Arabidopsis thaliana: one gene and its partners. The protein of the gene in region 3 purifies or fractionates together with the protein of the main gene of each other region. This does not show direct contact. Each region holds a gene or a part of one and is shown on either strand. Other genes may lie near its edges.

Region 1 (4,918 bases), 300 kb from region 3:
AACATGTCATGAAAGACAAAAAGCAAAGGAAAGGACCTGGGTTTTCCAGTTTGTGCAGCCTGTGACAAGAGCCAGCAGAAGAGTCTGCAGAACTGCACCGGCTAGTATTCCAATCCAAAGGCCAACACCTTTCAGATGAACCCAGAAGGCTAAAGATGCTGCAATGGGTATCCCCCAGAGATAGAAAGCTCCGAAGTTTATGTAAGCCCCTATATGCTGCCACCCGCATCCGCTTGCAACACCTTCCAACCATCAAACGAGGGTTAGAAGAATGGCAGAAAAGAGTACAACATGAACAGGCATGACAACTTGGAGCTGTATATTCGACACTAGCTTATGTTTGAGAAACGAAATGGGAAAAAATCTCGAACCTGAGAGAACCCCTTGTAAACTGTCCAGTATGATAGAAATAGAGACCAACGGAGCCATCTTTGCAACATATTCGATGGTTTTCTTGTCACTGCTGAAAACATGGCCGAAAACATGCCTGCCGGCTAATAGAGACATACTCACCATCAATGCATCCATTACTGCAAGAGACATTGCCGCATAGACCACAATATGTGCTGCTCGAGAGTTTCCAGCTCCTAACTCATTTGAGATTCTTGTGCTGCACAATGTACTTGCTTATGAACATGAAACCATAACAGAAAGTATACTTCAGCATTTATGTACTGGATAGTGGTGACAAAAGCTCTAACCTTGCTGCAGCCGCGATCGCTAGTGGTATTGAATAAGTTATTGAAAGTGTTTCGAAACTGTCCGTAGTATGAATAACATTATGATTTTGCAAATTCAAGATTGTGACAGGAAATGGAAAGATGCAAGGATGAGTACCAGATAGAGAGCACAGAAGTCTCCAGCTGTGGGTTGGGTAACAGACCAGAAAGTAATATTATGAGTTCATATGACCACCACTCCAGGCTGCAACCCATATATAAAAGAGTTTCTAACAAAAAATGTGGAGGCAATGAGAAGTGAAAAAGGAACAGAGAAAAGTGATGTACCAAAGCATAGCCGCAGAAGGAAGAGCATATTTGATAAACTCTCTAACGCCCTCGAATATCTCCATGGTAAGCGGCGCGCGTGTCTCAGAACAGGCAGAGGAGTAGTACATGAAAGATCCAAGGAAAATGGCATAGAGCCAGTATGACAAGCTGAGAGCCAAGGCTCCTCCAATATGACCAAGCCCTGACTTATAAACCAAAAGCCAGCAGAGAGGAACGTGGATACAAAACACAACAGAAGAGGTGACGAGGAGAGGTGTGATCAAGCTCTGGTTTTTGAAGTAGCGAATGAGCGGCTGAAGAACGGCGTAAGCGAACAGTCCTGGGATGAGCCAAGCGGCATATCTACCAGCTTCGTGAGCAATAGCAGGGTCTTGGCCAAGGATCACAATAAGCTTTCCCATGTTGAACCATAGGAGAGAGAGAGGGAGACACACTAAAGTAAGACAGAACATAGCTGTGTAAGCCTGAACACCTAGTTTCCGATATAGCTTAGCTCCATAAGCTTGACCACTCAAAGTATCTAAGGCACATGACAATCCTATCTATCATCAAAAAGTAACAAGAAAGTGAGGAGAGGATGCAATTTCCATGGTTCTGGTAGCTAGTAACAGAGATAAGTGCGTCAATTTAGAGGAAAGAAGGAAAAGGAAAACAAACAATGAAGCTGAAGCCAGTGACGTTACAGAAGGAGACTGCGAAGGAAGCGCTAGCGAGGGAGAGTCTACCGAGGTGACCCACCATCACCATTGAGATTATCTGTATCATGAACTGAATGATAACCACGGCAGCCATAGGAGCCGCAAAGCAGATAAGCCTCTTGAGTTCTGCGGTGAAAGATCCGTCTTGCAGATCTCTCCATGTCACTTTCTCAATTCTGTCTACCGGATCATTGGTGGTTCTCTCCGCGTCTTGCATGGCTTGTGAGAGAGAGTTTGAAAGTTGAAACGGAAAGTGGTGAGTGATAATCGTGAAGTACTACTGTCTGCTTTTTGGTGCTTGGTTATGTGTAATTCCTTACCAAGGGAATCTATAGTGTAGTGCCACTTGGCAAAATTCCAAAACCATGAATGAAATATATACGTTAAATTTGGCTCAACGGTAGGGAGTGTTCATTGATAATGTACTCTTACGTTTTTTAATATGCATATTGCTTGTCACTTTTCTTCCACAATTCTGTCTTTTAATTACATGATTTGGTGTTTTTTCTTTGAAAGACGAGCTAGCAAAATTAAATGAAGAGGGAATGCAATTTTCGAAGTATCACAACAAGTGGTCGGAAAGTAGATAGAATGATATTTTGATCATCCACGTGGCAAAACATTGTAACGGAAGGAAATTAGGTGCATAGCAAAAAAAAATAACACAATCGTGCCACCGAACCAATCGGGCCGCCCTTTTCTACCGCCGGCTAAATTTGACGGTCACATATAGAGCCCCAAAAACTCTCCACCATGTCCACTCTTCCTTTCGCGCCTTCTGTCACCCATGCGCACTTTAGCCACTCCCTCTCCCCCATGTTTATCCTGCGCCATCTCCCTCTTACACGCCATCTCCGTTTATCCCGAAATAACCGCGTCGCTTCCGTTGTATCCGCCGCCGCCGTTCGCCAGGACGCTTCCCTCTGGACTCCAGCTCCTCTCTCTCTAATCGAATCAGCTGCAGAATCGCTTTTCCACATCTCAATCGACATTTCAAACGCTCCGGATCTCGTAGCTTCGTACACGAGACCCGGTCAGTATCTCCAGATCCGTGTTCCTGATGTTGAGAAGCCTTCTTTTATGGCAATCGCTTCTCCTCCTTCCTTGGCGTCTTCTCGTGGTGCTTTCGAATTCTTGGTCAAGAGCATCGCTGGTTCTACCGCGGAGATTCTCTGCGGGTTGAAGAAAGGAGAGACCGTTGAGCTTAGCTCTGTGATGGGTAATGGTTTCAATATCGATCTGATTGATCCTCCTGAGGAATATCCCACCGTTTTGATTTTCGCCACTGGATCTGGAATTAGGTGAGAGCTTTTTCCATTTTCTCTCCTACCTTGTTGGATTGCTGAAGTTGTCTTTTTTACTTCATGTATTCAATGATCCAAGTGTGGTCTAGTTTAAAGGTTTCAGTGCAGAGCATTAGCTAGATACAAAGCTTTCAAACTCAAGTATCTTGAATCTAGTTTAGTTACTCATTTTGCGGTGAATCCTCTGTGATGCCGGGTTCAATTGCTTTTTTGTGGACCTTTTTTGTGAACTCCAGTATGATTTCAATCTATCCAAAGGTGCCATGGACCAATTTTGTGGCTATTTTTTTACTGTGATGATGTTGTAATACTGAAATAGAGTTTCATGTATGAAAGGTCAATGTTTTTATGACTTTGGTGATCGATCAGATCTGTTGTTTATGCCAAGTAAAGGTGTTTCTTTCAATCATCTATTGTTCTAGGCCTGGTCAATCAAAAATGTTTAGTGATGGTGATGTGAATTAAGTAACTGTCTTCAATTTGGAATGTAATCTCACATGTTCTTATCTCTGCAGCCCCATCCGCTCACTAATCGAATCAGGATTTGGCGCTGATAGAAGATCTGACGTAAGACTCTATTACGGGGCTAGGAACCTGAATAGGATGGCTTACCAGGTTTGGTTCTTTCTCTCAGTTGTTTTGCAATTCATGATGTCAGTAGATATAAATGTGTGTGCTTGAATTATAAAAATCTTTTGATGATAAGCGTAAAGCCTATCTCTCGCTCTCATTTTGATCTACAGAAGAATCATCTTGGAAACGCTCTTGATTTTGTAGGAAAAGTTTAAAGAGTGGGAATCAGCGGGTGTCAAAGTTGTGCCGGTATTATCACAGCCAGATGATGGGTGGAAAGGGGAAACTGGATATGTGCAGGTGAGATTGAGAAACGTGCTCCTTAGTCAAGTCTGCTGTAACTCAATGTGGATCAAACTAATATATACATAATGTGTTGTATAGGCTGCTTTTGCAAGGGCTAAACAGCTATCAGCTCCCAAGGCCACGGGAGCGGTGCTGTGCGGACAGAAACAAATGGCTGAGGTATGCACTGTTTTTGTTTATGAGAACCTAAATGCTTTAGAAGATGTGTATCTTTATCATTGTTTCGATTTGTATTGTTGCAGGAGATAACTTCAATGCTTGTAGCTGATGGAGTCTCAAATGACAAGCTGCTCAAAAACTTTTGACAGATATAGTTCTTGTATTATCGTATAATTTTACTGTTTCTTCACATCATTATTCTTTTGATACGAAAGTCCTCTTCAAGGCCTCTCTAATTCATAAACACACAGAATTTTGTAGTCCCTTAAAAATTAATACTACTGTGTTGATTGTCACCACAACATTCTTTTTTGATTAGTGATCATGTTAATGTCCATGCTCTATATACTTTGCATATTTCTTCTACTTTCAATAGAAAATTTCTACATATACCAAGAAGATTTATACCAAAAAATATTGTGAATTAGACATGTTTCTAATTAGGAAAAGTTCCACAAAATAAATCACCATCGTTGCCACATTTAATTAACGCGGAAAAAAGCTTAAAAGCCATTGATCGACTGTATTAACCACTAAATTAGACTGCACGCCGTTTTCATAGAAGATCACAGGACTTGGTGTCGTTCTCACGATCCTTCACGATCATCTTCTCTTAGTCAATAAGGATCCATCAAGGAAACCAAAAATCGAAGAAAATTAGAAAAATCGGAAGAGCGATCGAAGAGGATTTTGAACCGCCATGGCTTCTTCTTCGCTCTCTAATCTGATGCTCGCCATTCATGAGAAGAAGACGAGCTCCGTTGATCTCTACCGTCCTCTCCGCAACTACGTTACTTTCACCTACTCTGAGCGCGAGGCTCAGCTTATAGACGACGATCTCGAGACCTTGAAGCAGCTCCGATCCGAT
Region 2 (5,656 bases), on a different chromosome or scaffold from region 3:
GTCGAATTAATCACTTCAGACATATCATACGCCTAGCAACCCTCTGAATCTGGTTCAATGTTTGTATATAGCCAAATTAATATAAGATTTTTTTATATATAGATAAAACATCACCCATCAGTGATGGGCCATCACCCTAATTATAAGACATTGTGTAACTTATAACAACCTTCCATAACTGGTGTTAAGAAACCAAATGTGATAACTGATAAGATTATTTGCTTGCACATATCACCAATGAGATGATTTGTGAACATGTTAATGAATTAAGTATTTTTATTAATAAAGGTATAATGAAACCTTCATATCAAATTATGTGGGTGAGATGGAGGCATGGATGTGTTTGTTAGGCTCATACCTGAGGCCTCGTATGTTTGGCCTATTTCTTTGTTAGAATCTTAATTTGGTAATGAACAAGACACAAGCTTTTACATCTTGACAGAAACCTTTAAAATCCATCTAATTAGATGATTTATAAGATGCTTTATTATTATGATCTAACCACGTTTATATATTTTATTCAAACTGATTAAGTTTGCGTTGATTATTTACTTCTCAACCCATTTGCTAACTGTATTAAGTAAATTAACAAAATATGATTTATATATATGAACCATGGAGCTTTATGAAGAATTCTGAAAATTTCAGCTGTTTGATCACTCAAGAGGATACATGAGTTTGTTTGTACCAAACATAAATAATGCTTCACATTATTGGATTCTTCAGCGCTAGAGACATTCTTAATCAATCCAAGTAAAAATATTATGTCGATACTCCAAAAAATTGGGCAAAGCTTGGATACTTCGGCTCCCATCCTATCTCCGCTCGTGTCTTAGAGTTGTTCAGCTTCTTCCCTAAAGGACCACTGGTGCCTACAAAAGCCAAAGTTGTCAGACTCCATGAAGCTTAAGGTTTTTCAAGACAACTACATGTCAATGTCTGAAGAAACTCACTTGTAAAACCTTTGAACTTCTTATCAAATTTTCCGCTTTGAGCCATCAGGTCCATCACCTCTTGCCTGAGAAGAGTGAGGGGTCAAACATTTGATGTCTCATCAAAAGTTAGAAAGTAATCTCAAAGTTAGAACGAAAGCAGCATTACCTTGACAAAGGATGGTTGTCACAACCCAAGAAAATCCGAGCACCGGCTTTCTTCTTCATGATTGCAACTGCCAGCGATGCTGCATCCTGTTCAAAAACACATTAGAGAACCTGATAAGAGACTAATGTATAGTACACTGCCATTCTAGAAAATGAGTTCAATCTGCAGATCAACTAATTAGTTATGAGAGTGAACAAAATCACAAATATACCTCATAGTGTATGAGATTTAGAATATGATCAGGACGAGCATCAATTGTCTCCTTACTCAACCAGTAAGTATGTGCACCTCTAGTTTCTGTGTATAAAAAGTTCAGGAGAAACATAATGCTCAAATCTTCTACAGACCAAGAAAAAAGTCTTTCAATACTTGCTCATTCAGTTTCAGTATCGAAATCCAAAAGGATATGTAAAGCCCTGCTAGTCTAAGGACAGTCCCTCCACATTCCAACACTACTTTTTCAGCTTTCAAAAGCACATCAGTTCTTGGACTCTTTCCCAGTGGCACTACTGGAGAATCCTGCAGTGAAGGGTAACGAACTTAGAAATTCTTATTGAATAGCACATATATATATTCACAATGAACAAGAATTTGCATTGTGGTCTCAAATATCAAATTTTTTTATTGATTGTATACTTGATTTTCATAGATTTTAAATGTGAGAGACTCTTTTCCCCAAATTACCTCAACAAGTAATTGTGTTAAACAACTTTGATATAGAATAATACTAAATGTGGTGTTAAAGTCTAAAACTAGGAATTTTAGGATGGAGAAAACTGAAAGAAAATAGGTATTCAGGTGCTGAGACAAACCTCGTTGCATTCTCCGTTATCAAAGCAATCATAAGGTGCAGAACTAGATGTGAATAAGAATGATCCTTCGCCATTCCAGTTTGATGCTGCATTCCTGATCCGATTGTAAACACAAGCATACACACATATTAGACAGTTGAATGAAGGCAAATGTTTTTACTGTTGTCACATAGGATGAACTAAAAAGCACAAATTGACGTTTAGCTTCATTTTTCTTCTCCAGCTAATAAAGTCAAGCGCACAATAGTCGACATTTCTGGCATTCACTAACAGATCATAATGCATAAATTGACTTTCTAGTTATTAAAACATAAGATTTTTTGTAATTAATCACCTGACTTCACCAGCATAATCAGCGCTTTGTGATGGTGGAGCACAAAAGATCACATAGGAGAACTTTCCCCCATATTCGGTTCCTTTAAGAGATGGTTTGATACCCAAATTCTCCAACTCACCATGATGATTTGTTGTTACTGTCTGCCCAAAGATTTGAGACTCTGGATGTTCCTGCTCCACATATAAAGCTCTAACTCTAACTTCCATATTGTGAAAAACATGACTCTTACTATATATACGTTGTGAAGAAAAAGTACTAGTCACTATCCACACACACACCATATTGATAAACACTCAAGACACATTAAAACAGGGATTTGCAGGACATCATAAACGTTTTTGTTTTCGTAGTACAGAAACACCATATCTATCGGATGTTCTATAAGAAGAATATGAGTAAGTATCAAATTGAGCTAAGTCCCCTGTAGGGGATATACAACACAGAAATTATACCTGTCTCCACTGTTCTGCAACTAAGCGTCCAAGAACACCCGGTCCAACAATCAGCAGATCGTTTGCTCCAATTGAAACATGAGACTGGACCTTCAAGCCATCACTGGTCTCACCTTCATACAAAACAACATATTAAAAAGGTCACTACTTTGGAGAGGCAGATCACTAAACCTTCATTTACCATATTCTTAGCTTCCTCATCAATGTAATCAGAAATTGTAAATCATTCGAAAGCTCTAATTACCTCACTAAGCATAAAAGATTAACATAGGATTATCTTAAAAGTCAAAGTTCACTAATCCTTAAAGCAGTCGAATTGAAGAAGTAGAGAGTGAAGATACCAATGGTGGAGGAAGAAGAGGCTTGAATAGGGGTCGCCATTAACGAAGACGTTAATGGAAGAAAAAACGAGACTTTGGGTTTATCCTCCTGACGTCTCAAAGCAAACTTAAGTGAATATGAAGAAGACGCTGAAGTCGAGTGCTTGGAAAAGTGGTGAGTCGATAGAATTCTTGAATTGATCGTCGGAAATGAGATGCAAGAGATGAAACCCATTAAGACAAAAAAGCAAAAAGCTTTGGCTTTTGACGACGAAAAAGATTGAGTTGGCGTGGGGAAAGAGATGGGATTCTCCGTGAGACTTTGGTAATGGGTTCTCTTGGTGTGTTTTAACCAATGGCGTATTTACACGTCACGACGTCCAATGTTGTAGAATATTGGTCTTTTTTTTCGTTTCTTTTCATATTCTAAGTTTGTTTATAGGAAACAAAAGGAATGACATTTGCTATTAATATTAATGTTAAGGATTCGATAGTTTTACAGTTTACACACTCTTCTGTCTCTCTACTCTTCACATGAGCTCAGCTTCTTCGGTGTCTCCATCAACATCTTCAACATCGTTCTCGTCATTCTCATCTGTTGCATCTGGGTCTATTCCCTGCAACAAACACCCCAATTTTGTGAATACACTAAACATCATCCTTGTTCGAGCTTCATAATAAAATGGTTCGATTTGATTCTTCCCAACCTTCATTTGTTTCTCCAAGCGATCTAGTCCCTTTTTGGCTGCCTCATTCTGTGGATTTATTCTGCGTTTACATTATTTACACTCTGTTATATCGTTATTGTTTCGCATAGGAGCAACAAGAACTATAAGCACTACTGGCTTAGAATTTCATAAACCTTAATGCAGCTTGAAAGTGTGATAAAGAATCTTGTAGCATATTCGTTGCAGCAAACACTTGAGCTAGCTTGACGTGGAGAGAATCATCTGCATAATCTTTGAGATATCGTTCAAGTAGTGATACAGCATCTCCATTCCTCCCTTCCATTAGATGAAGCTCAGCTAGGGCTAACACAGCTCCAAGGTACCCAGGTTCCAGCCTCAGACCTGACTCGTAAAACTTTTTTGCCTGTTATAAAACCATATCATTCTACTGTTACACCATAAATTTTTATACATAATGTAAAGATCACAAGAAGATACTCACAAGCTCTGAATAGTTTCTCAGATTTGGTATACACTATGCTTATCAAAATTGAGATTTGAACAGTTAAGTTTAAGGAACTTTCCCAGTTTCAATATTTAGTATTATATGCAACTAACTCCCTAAAGCTTTCACCGCTTCTGATTAAGATGTAAAAAATCTGGATAGAATATTGATATGATGAAAATTGACACCATAGAAGCATAACAAAGCTGAATGTTTGTACCTTTTCCCTGCCACTTGATGTAAACGCATGAACATCACCAACTAATTTCAGAGCCTTCGCGGATTGAGGCATTGCATTCATTGCTTCCCTGGCGGTATACAATGCTTCTTTGGTTTTACCAAATGCAAGATAAGAATGGACTAAGCCTGAAATGACCTCAATAGCGCAAGTTAATTACACACTCCAACCTTTTCATGATTGTTAAAGGTTTATACCACCAAAACAGTACAACAGTGGAAGTGTATATCAGATCTTTTTCCCTCGTGAACCAGACCTTGATATGAACGAAGATCGGACCTCAAATTCTGGGCAGCCCTGAAGGCGATCGCTGCAGCTTCTGGTCGTTTTGCTTGTAAAAGTAGATTTCCCTGACGTCTTAACAAATTAGTGGATATATATATATATGCAAACTTACTAAAAATAAATAAACTCCTCGTTGAACTAGCTTACCTTCATTATGTAGCCGGGTATGTGCCTCTCGTCTACCCTGATACTCTGATTGCATAGTGTATGTCATGAGCTATCACACAAAGATTTTGGCACAAAAATTCAGTGTCAGAAAAAAGCTAACCTTCTCAGCATAAGATAATGCCGTCCTTGCATCTTTCCTTTCCCATAGTACAGACAAAGCAACAAATACTTCTGCTCTGGTATGATCAACGCTTAATAAATCGTGGACGAGCTTGTTTAGCCTGGAATAATCACACTTAATCTGAAGCAGCATCGCATACTCATCCATACTGGTTAGTGTGTAAGGATCAATTGACCGAACCTATAAAAGCTTTTAGATGATTATGCATGAATTAAAGAAGTTGAGAATTGAGAAAAAAATATCCATGTGGTGACTACCTTCTCAAATCTCATTATGGCCTCATCATTTTTCCCAATAATGGCTTCAACCTATACAAATGAAATAAATGTCAATCAGCGTCAGTCATGATAAAATGAAAAATTCAGGTGAAATTCTGTTTGCATCGTAGTCGATGTCATCCCTAACCTTTGCTGTCTCAGTCAACAAGTGTACATTATTTGGAAATCGTTGTAAGAGTTCAGCAAAGAGTTCCAGCGCCCCTGAGTAACAAAAAAATATTACACCATATCCAGTAAAGCAAGCATCAGATTGCAGAATTTCCCACAAATAAAATGCAAGAAATGAAATCTACAAGGTTAAAAAAAAAGAACTAAATGCCTTATTTCATCCATTGTAGGCATAGGCATCCCAAAAAGAAAAGAGAGCTACC
Region 3 (4,465 bases):
CGGTCACATTCAAAGCCAAGCTGATTTCTTCCATATTGGAACAGCCTAAAGAAGTTACCGGATTCTTGATTCGGGTTAGCCCAAAGACATCGCTTGAGTCGTCCGGGAGAGAGATATTCACCAGTTCTCTGTTGATACTCTTAAGAACTGGCAGAGGGTTTCCTGAGGTTCGGTTACAGATAACTTCATACCACTCATTGTTGTTGAGATAGCAATCTTTACCAATTCCAAAGGGATAAGGAATCGCTATTCCCCCGCAATGGCTTTGACAAGAACTGAAGACAGTGAGATCTTGAGCAGATGCTGCAATCAAACCATGGATCAGCAGAACCAGAAGAGAGAGCAAGTTATATATGGAAAACTTCTCTCTGCTCATTATGCTCTGTTTTTTTTTCTTTGTAGAAAACTGAGTTATGTTATGTGAAGCTAAAGCTAAAGCTAATATAGAATTATGTGTTATATAGTAACTAACCGAAGAAACCACAGTTGCCTACTTGGACCACCTTGCCTGCAAAGGCTGAAAATTCAAACAAGCGTGGACGATCCTGCCTCTTACTTTGTCAACTATTGATGATTCCAAAGAGTCTACATAGGTATCTGTCATAATTTGTTTATTATTGAAGATTCTAGTCTTCCCTAATTGATGGGAGTCTAGAAGCAGAAAAGTTTTGATTCTTGAAAATGCACAAGTTTACACATATAAAAGTCTGGACATTTTACAAAGCGTGAACTGATTCTCTTTCTTTATTAAAAAATTACATCTTTTTTTCACTTCTCAGGCGTGTACACAGTTGACACTAGTTTCAGATCATCTACTTAAAATATGTAAGAATGATACTTAATCCAGATACTCACAATTTAGAAAGACTGGCTCTATATCACTTTAAGCTCTTTCAGCCATTCGGTATGGAGGGGACACGGATCCGGTTGCCCTTCCGCAATCGCCTTCTCTGAGAGTGAATAAAACCAACCATTCCTCCATTTAAACTGCAATAATCAGAAAACTAGTTGTGAAACAGATACTGATGCACATGCACATGCATTGAAAGAGAGAGATCAAGGATGATAAAAGTGATATATGTACTTCTTTAACAGCAGTTGGGAAATGAGAAACAGCTCGTGAATAAGCACATAGTCTTTCCACCATGTTCTCTTCAAAGGTTAGTCCTTTTTCCGCGGCAGCAGCTGCTGCAAGTTCTTGGATGAGTCTCGACACCTGAATGTATAAGTAATTAGCACTAAACAACGATTTTGAATGCTAAAACGAAACGAGGAATGGAATTTCGGTACTTCATCTCTGTATTCTTTCTCCACCGTGCCAACACTTGCACCTGGATGACGAGCTCCAACAAGCATAAATGCACAAATCCAAATGAGTTTCTCCAACATTTGCTTCTGAAAAGCTTCTTTGTCAAGTACCTAACCACAGAAACACCGACAAAAGAACACATTTAGTATATCCATGCAGCTTCTGCGTTATCATAAAACAAAGATTTGCTTCTTGTAACCTTGCAAGAGAGGCCACCAGATTGCAATCTTGCAGCTATCTCTGAAGCCCATTTTCCATAAGCAGCAGTAAGACCTTCTGGGTTAGTGTCAGTCTTTCCATCCACGGGAGGCTCGCCGAGCTTTGACACAGCAAAATAGGCCAACACTTGGTCTGTATCACCCAAACCTTTGCTCTCAAACCACGGCTCCATCATTCCATTTTGGAAGAAGACCAAATCTGATTAATTACACACAACGTTTTTACTATACCAAGTCATAAACTGAAGAAACAATCAAAATTTGATAATCTGATCATTTGAATTGTGCTCTGCGATGATCAAACGCCCTAAAACATCTAACAATTTGGCTCACTAATGATTCTTAGGGCCTATGAAAGTTTCTACCTTTCCATCTAGACTGAGGAGTAGCTTCAAGAACAGCATCGAGATCATCATTTCTTGTACAAACCAAAATGGGTCCTTCAAAATCAACCGGAACTGCTTCTCCTCTCTTCACCAACAAATCCTCGCCATTACCCATTTCCTGTAACGCCCTTCCGACTCTTCCGCCACCCACAATCACAGCAGGCGCTAGTTTTTTAGCGGTGGCAGCTGACGCGGCGGCCATAGCCATTGGAACGGCGAATCTCGCTCTTGAAACTGAGGGTTTAAGAGATTCAGAGCGTCGGAGGAAAGAGAAACGAGCTGAAGCGGAGCAGGAAACAGCAAACAGAGTACTACTGGCTTTAGCCATGGTGATAATAATGGGCTTCGACGATGTTGTGGCCTCTCATGGTTTTGGTTGGACTAATTTGAACAGTATGGTTTAACAGCCACTCGATGGTTTGAGGCTCTGGCTTATCGGTTTTGGATGACTCACGAAGATAAAACGGCATGACGTTGATAAATATAAAAAACGGCAGGTTGTTGATACTTTAAGTGTTTGAGTGTTTGAAACACAGTTCCCGCTAAACCTCAATCCAATCATCAACCTTTCAGTTTCCCGACAAAGGAAAACGACAAAATATTAATCAAAATCCCACTATCGTGTATTGACCGTTGGGTCCGTAGAAAGTAGAAAAAGGGCAAAAACCAAACGCAGACATCTAAAAAACCTTTGTGTTTAAGACAAGAAAAGAAAAGTCCATCTGTGTCTTTGGTTCTGTGCTCGCACAATCCCCAATGGCTATTCAAATTCAAATGGAAACACTGTGGGACTTTATAAAAACGTTACTTTCAACTCAGTACCATTGTCAAACACCTGTTTCTAGATTCATGTCTTCAAAATCTATAAAGATATAAACTTAGCTCCCAGAAAGTTCTAAACTTGATACTTGAAAGCAATCCATCCAGAAAGGGAAAAAAAACATGGCTGGTTCGAGAAAAGTGAATGATTTGTTGGAGGAAAATAAGGGAAATGTGGACACAATTACAGGGTCTTTATCCACTCAAAAGGGAGAGGATAAGGAGAATGTGTCGCCGGAGAAAGTCTCTACCTCTGTGGAAACTCGGAAACTAGATCGAGCTTTGAAGTCTCAATCGATGAAGGGTAACTCTGGGTTTCCAACGGAAGTTACAAATTTCAAATCTTTCTCAACTGGTGGTCGAACAGCTCTGAAGCAGTCATCACTGCAAGCGTGTATGCAGAAGAACAGTGAGGTTGATAAGAGTAGTTTCGGAATGAAAACTTGGACTAGTGTTGATTCAGAGCATTCAAGTTCGTTGAAAGTGTGGGAGTTTTCGGATTCTGAAGCTGCCCCTGCTTCCTCTTGGTCTACTTTGCCCAACAGGTAAAAACACGGCTATTACCAAGATTCTTGTGCTTTCATTGTTCTAAACATGTCTGAAACTATGTATATACTTGTTAAACAGGGCTTTGTTGTGCAAGACACTACCTTTGGATGTGGGAAGATGCACTTGTCTGATTGTGAAAGAACAATCACCTGAAGGCTTGAGCCACGGATCTGTATATTCACTTTATACACATGTAAGTATATAGATATTCGATTTACCATGATGCTGAGTGAGAATTGAGATGTAGTGATATCAATGTTTCTGATATCTCAGGAAGGTCGGGGGCGTAAAGACCGGAAGTTAGCAGTTGCTTACCATAGCCGACGTAATGGGAAATCTATATTTAGGGTGGCACAGAATGTTAAGGGATTGCTGTGCAGTTCGGATGAAAGTTATGTCGGTTCCATGACGGCTAATCTCTTGGGTTCCAAGTACTACATATGGGACAAGGTCAGAAATTCAAGCTCAATGTAACGGTGTTGGTTCTGCTTATAGGTTGGAAATCGAGTATGAATGTTTCTGGTCTTTTGATTCCATTGCAGGGAGTTCGAGTTGGTTCTGTAGGTAAAATGGTGAAGCCGCTTCTTTCGGTTGTAATGTAAGCGTTGAGGATTTTGAATGCCGTGTTTTTTGATGAATTTGCCTCTGCCTTAGTTTTGGGTTTGCTTATGCATCTGTTGGCTTCTGCAGATTCACACCCACCATAACAACTTGGACAGGGAGCTACAGAAGAATGAGAACTTTGCTACCAAAGCAGCAGCCAATGCAGAAAAACAACAATAAGCAGGTAAATGCCTAATCTTAAACTTCTCTCCATCAATCTTGCATTCCGAAAACATAAAACTGTTAATACACGTATGTATGTATCTCCTTATAGGTTCAACAAGCTAGTAAACTACCGCTTGATTGGCTTGAGAATAAGGAAAAAATTCAGAAGCTATGCTCAAGGATACCACATTACAACAAAGTAAGTCTCACCGGGCATCATTGTTGATTTTGTAAAGCATGAAATTCATTGTGTCTTCCCCTTTCTTTAGATCTCCAAGCAGCATGAGTTAGACTTCAGAGACAGAGGAAGAACAGGACTGAGAATACAGAGCTCGGTGAAGAACTTTCAGCTAACACTCACGGTGCATTTCCACAACTTTAAAGCTTTGATCAAAAACCAATCTCAAGAATCCTAA

What was found.
Region 1: the proteins of AT1G16080 (region 3) and AT1G15140 fractionate together in Arabidopsis thaliana (co-fractionation; one large-scale study listed by BioGRID). This does not show direct contact.
Region 2: the proteins of AT1G16080 (region 3) and EMB2799 fractionate together in Arabidopsis thaliana (co-fractionation; one large-scale study listed by BioGRID). This does not show direct contact.

What each region holds. Positions count from the first base shown.
Region 1 is NC_003070.9:5,209,681-5,214,598, reverse strand, and holds AT1G15140 (FAD/NAD(P)-binding oxidoreductase), read left to right. Parts: upstream 1-2,249; 5' UTR 2,250-2,461; coding exon 2,462-3,009; intron 3,010-3,527; coding exon 3,528-3,627; intron 3,628-3,789; coding exon 3,790-3,885; coding exon of another isoform or gene 3,886-3,957; exon of another isoform or gene 3,958-3,969; coding exon 3,970-4,050; exon of another isoform or gene 4,051-4,133; coding exon 4,134-4,196; 3' UTR 4,197-4,418; downstream 4,419-4,918. Other genes in the region: AT1G15150 (MATE efflux family protein), read right to left, coding at 37-242, 372-610, 702-758, 838-924, 1,008-1,552, 1,668-1,925; AT1G15130 (Endosomal targeting BRO1-like domain-containing protein), read left to right, coding at 4,751-4,918.
Region 2 is NC_003071.7:16,309,219-16,314,874, forward strand, and holds EMB2799 (NAD(P)-binding Rossmann-fold superfamily protein), read right to left. Parts: upstream 3,405-5,656; 5' UTR 3,258-3,404; coding exon 3,044-3,257; intron 2,816-3,043; coding exon 2,703-2,815; intron 2,421-2,702; coding exon 2,248-2,420; intron 2,008-2,247; coding exon 1,914-2,007; intron 1,621-1,913; coding exon 1,510-1,620; intron 1,403-1,509; coding exon 1,313-1,402; intron 1,188-1,312; coding exon 1,102-1,187; intron 1,019-1,101; coding exon 954-1,018; intron 873-953; coding exon 763-872; 3' UTR 580-762; downstream 1-579. Other genes in the region: APC7 (tetratricopeptide repeat (TPR)-containing protein), read right to left, coding at 3,553-3,639, 3,730-3,790, 3,885-4,114, 4,416-4,561, 4,690-4,783, 4,866-4,910, 4,987-5,187, 5,265-5,315 and 2 more.
Region 3 is NC_003070.9:5,512,170-5,516,634, reverse strand, and holds AT1G16080 (nuclear protein), read right to left. Parts: upstream 2,374-4,465; 5' UTR 2,242-2,373; coding exon 1,893-2,241; intron 1,727-1,892; coding exon 1,509-1,726; intron 1,420-1,508; coding exon 1,291-1,419; intron 1,217-1,290; coding exon 1,085-1,216; intron 988-1,084; coding exon 874-987; 3' UTR 608-873; downstream 1-607. Other genes in the region: WAKL7 (wall associated kinase-like 7), read right to left, coding at 1-376; TLP8 (tubby like protein 8), read left to right, coding at 2,856-3,277, 3,360-3,474, 3,555-3,731, 3,824-3,879, 3,972-4,068, 4,159-4,248, 4,319-4,411.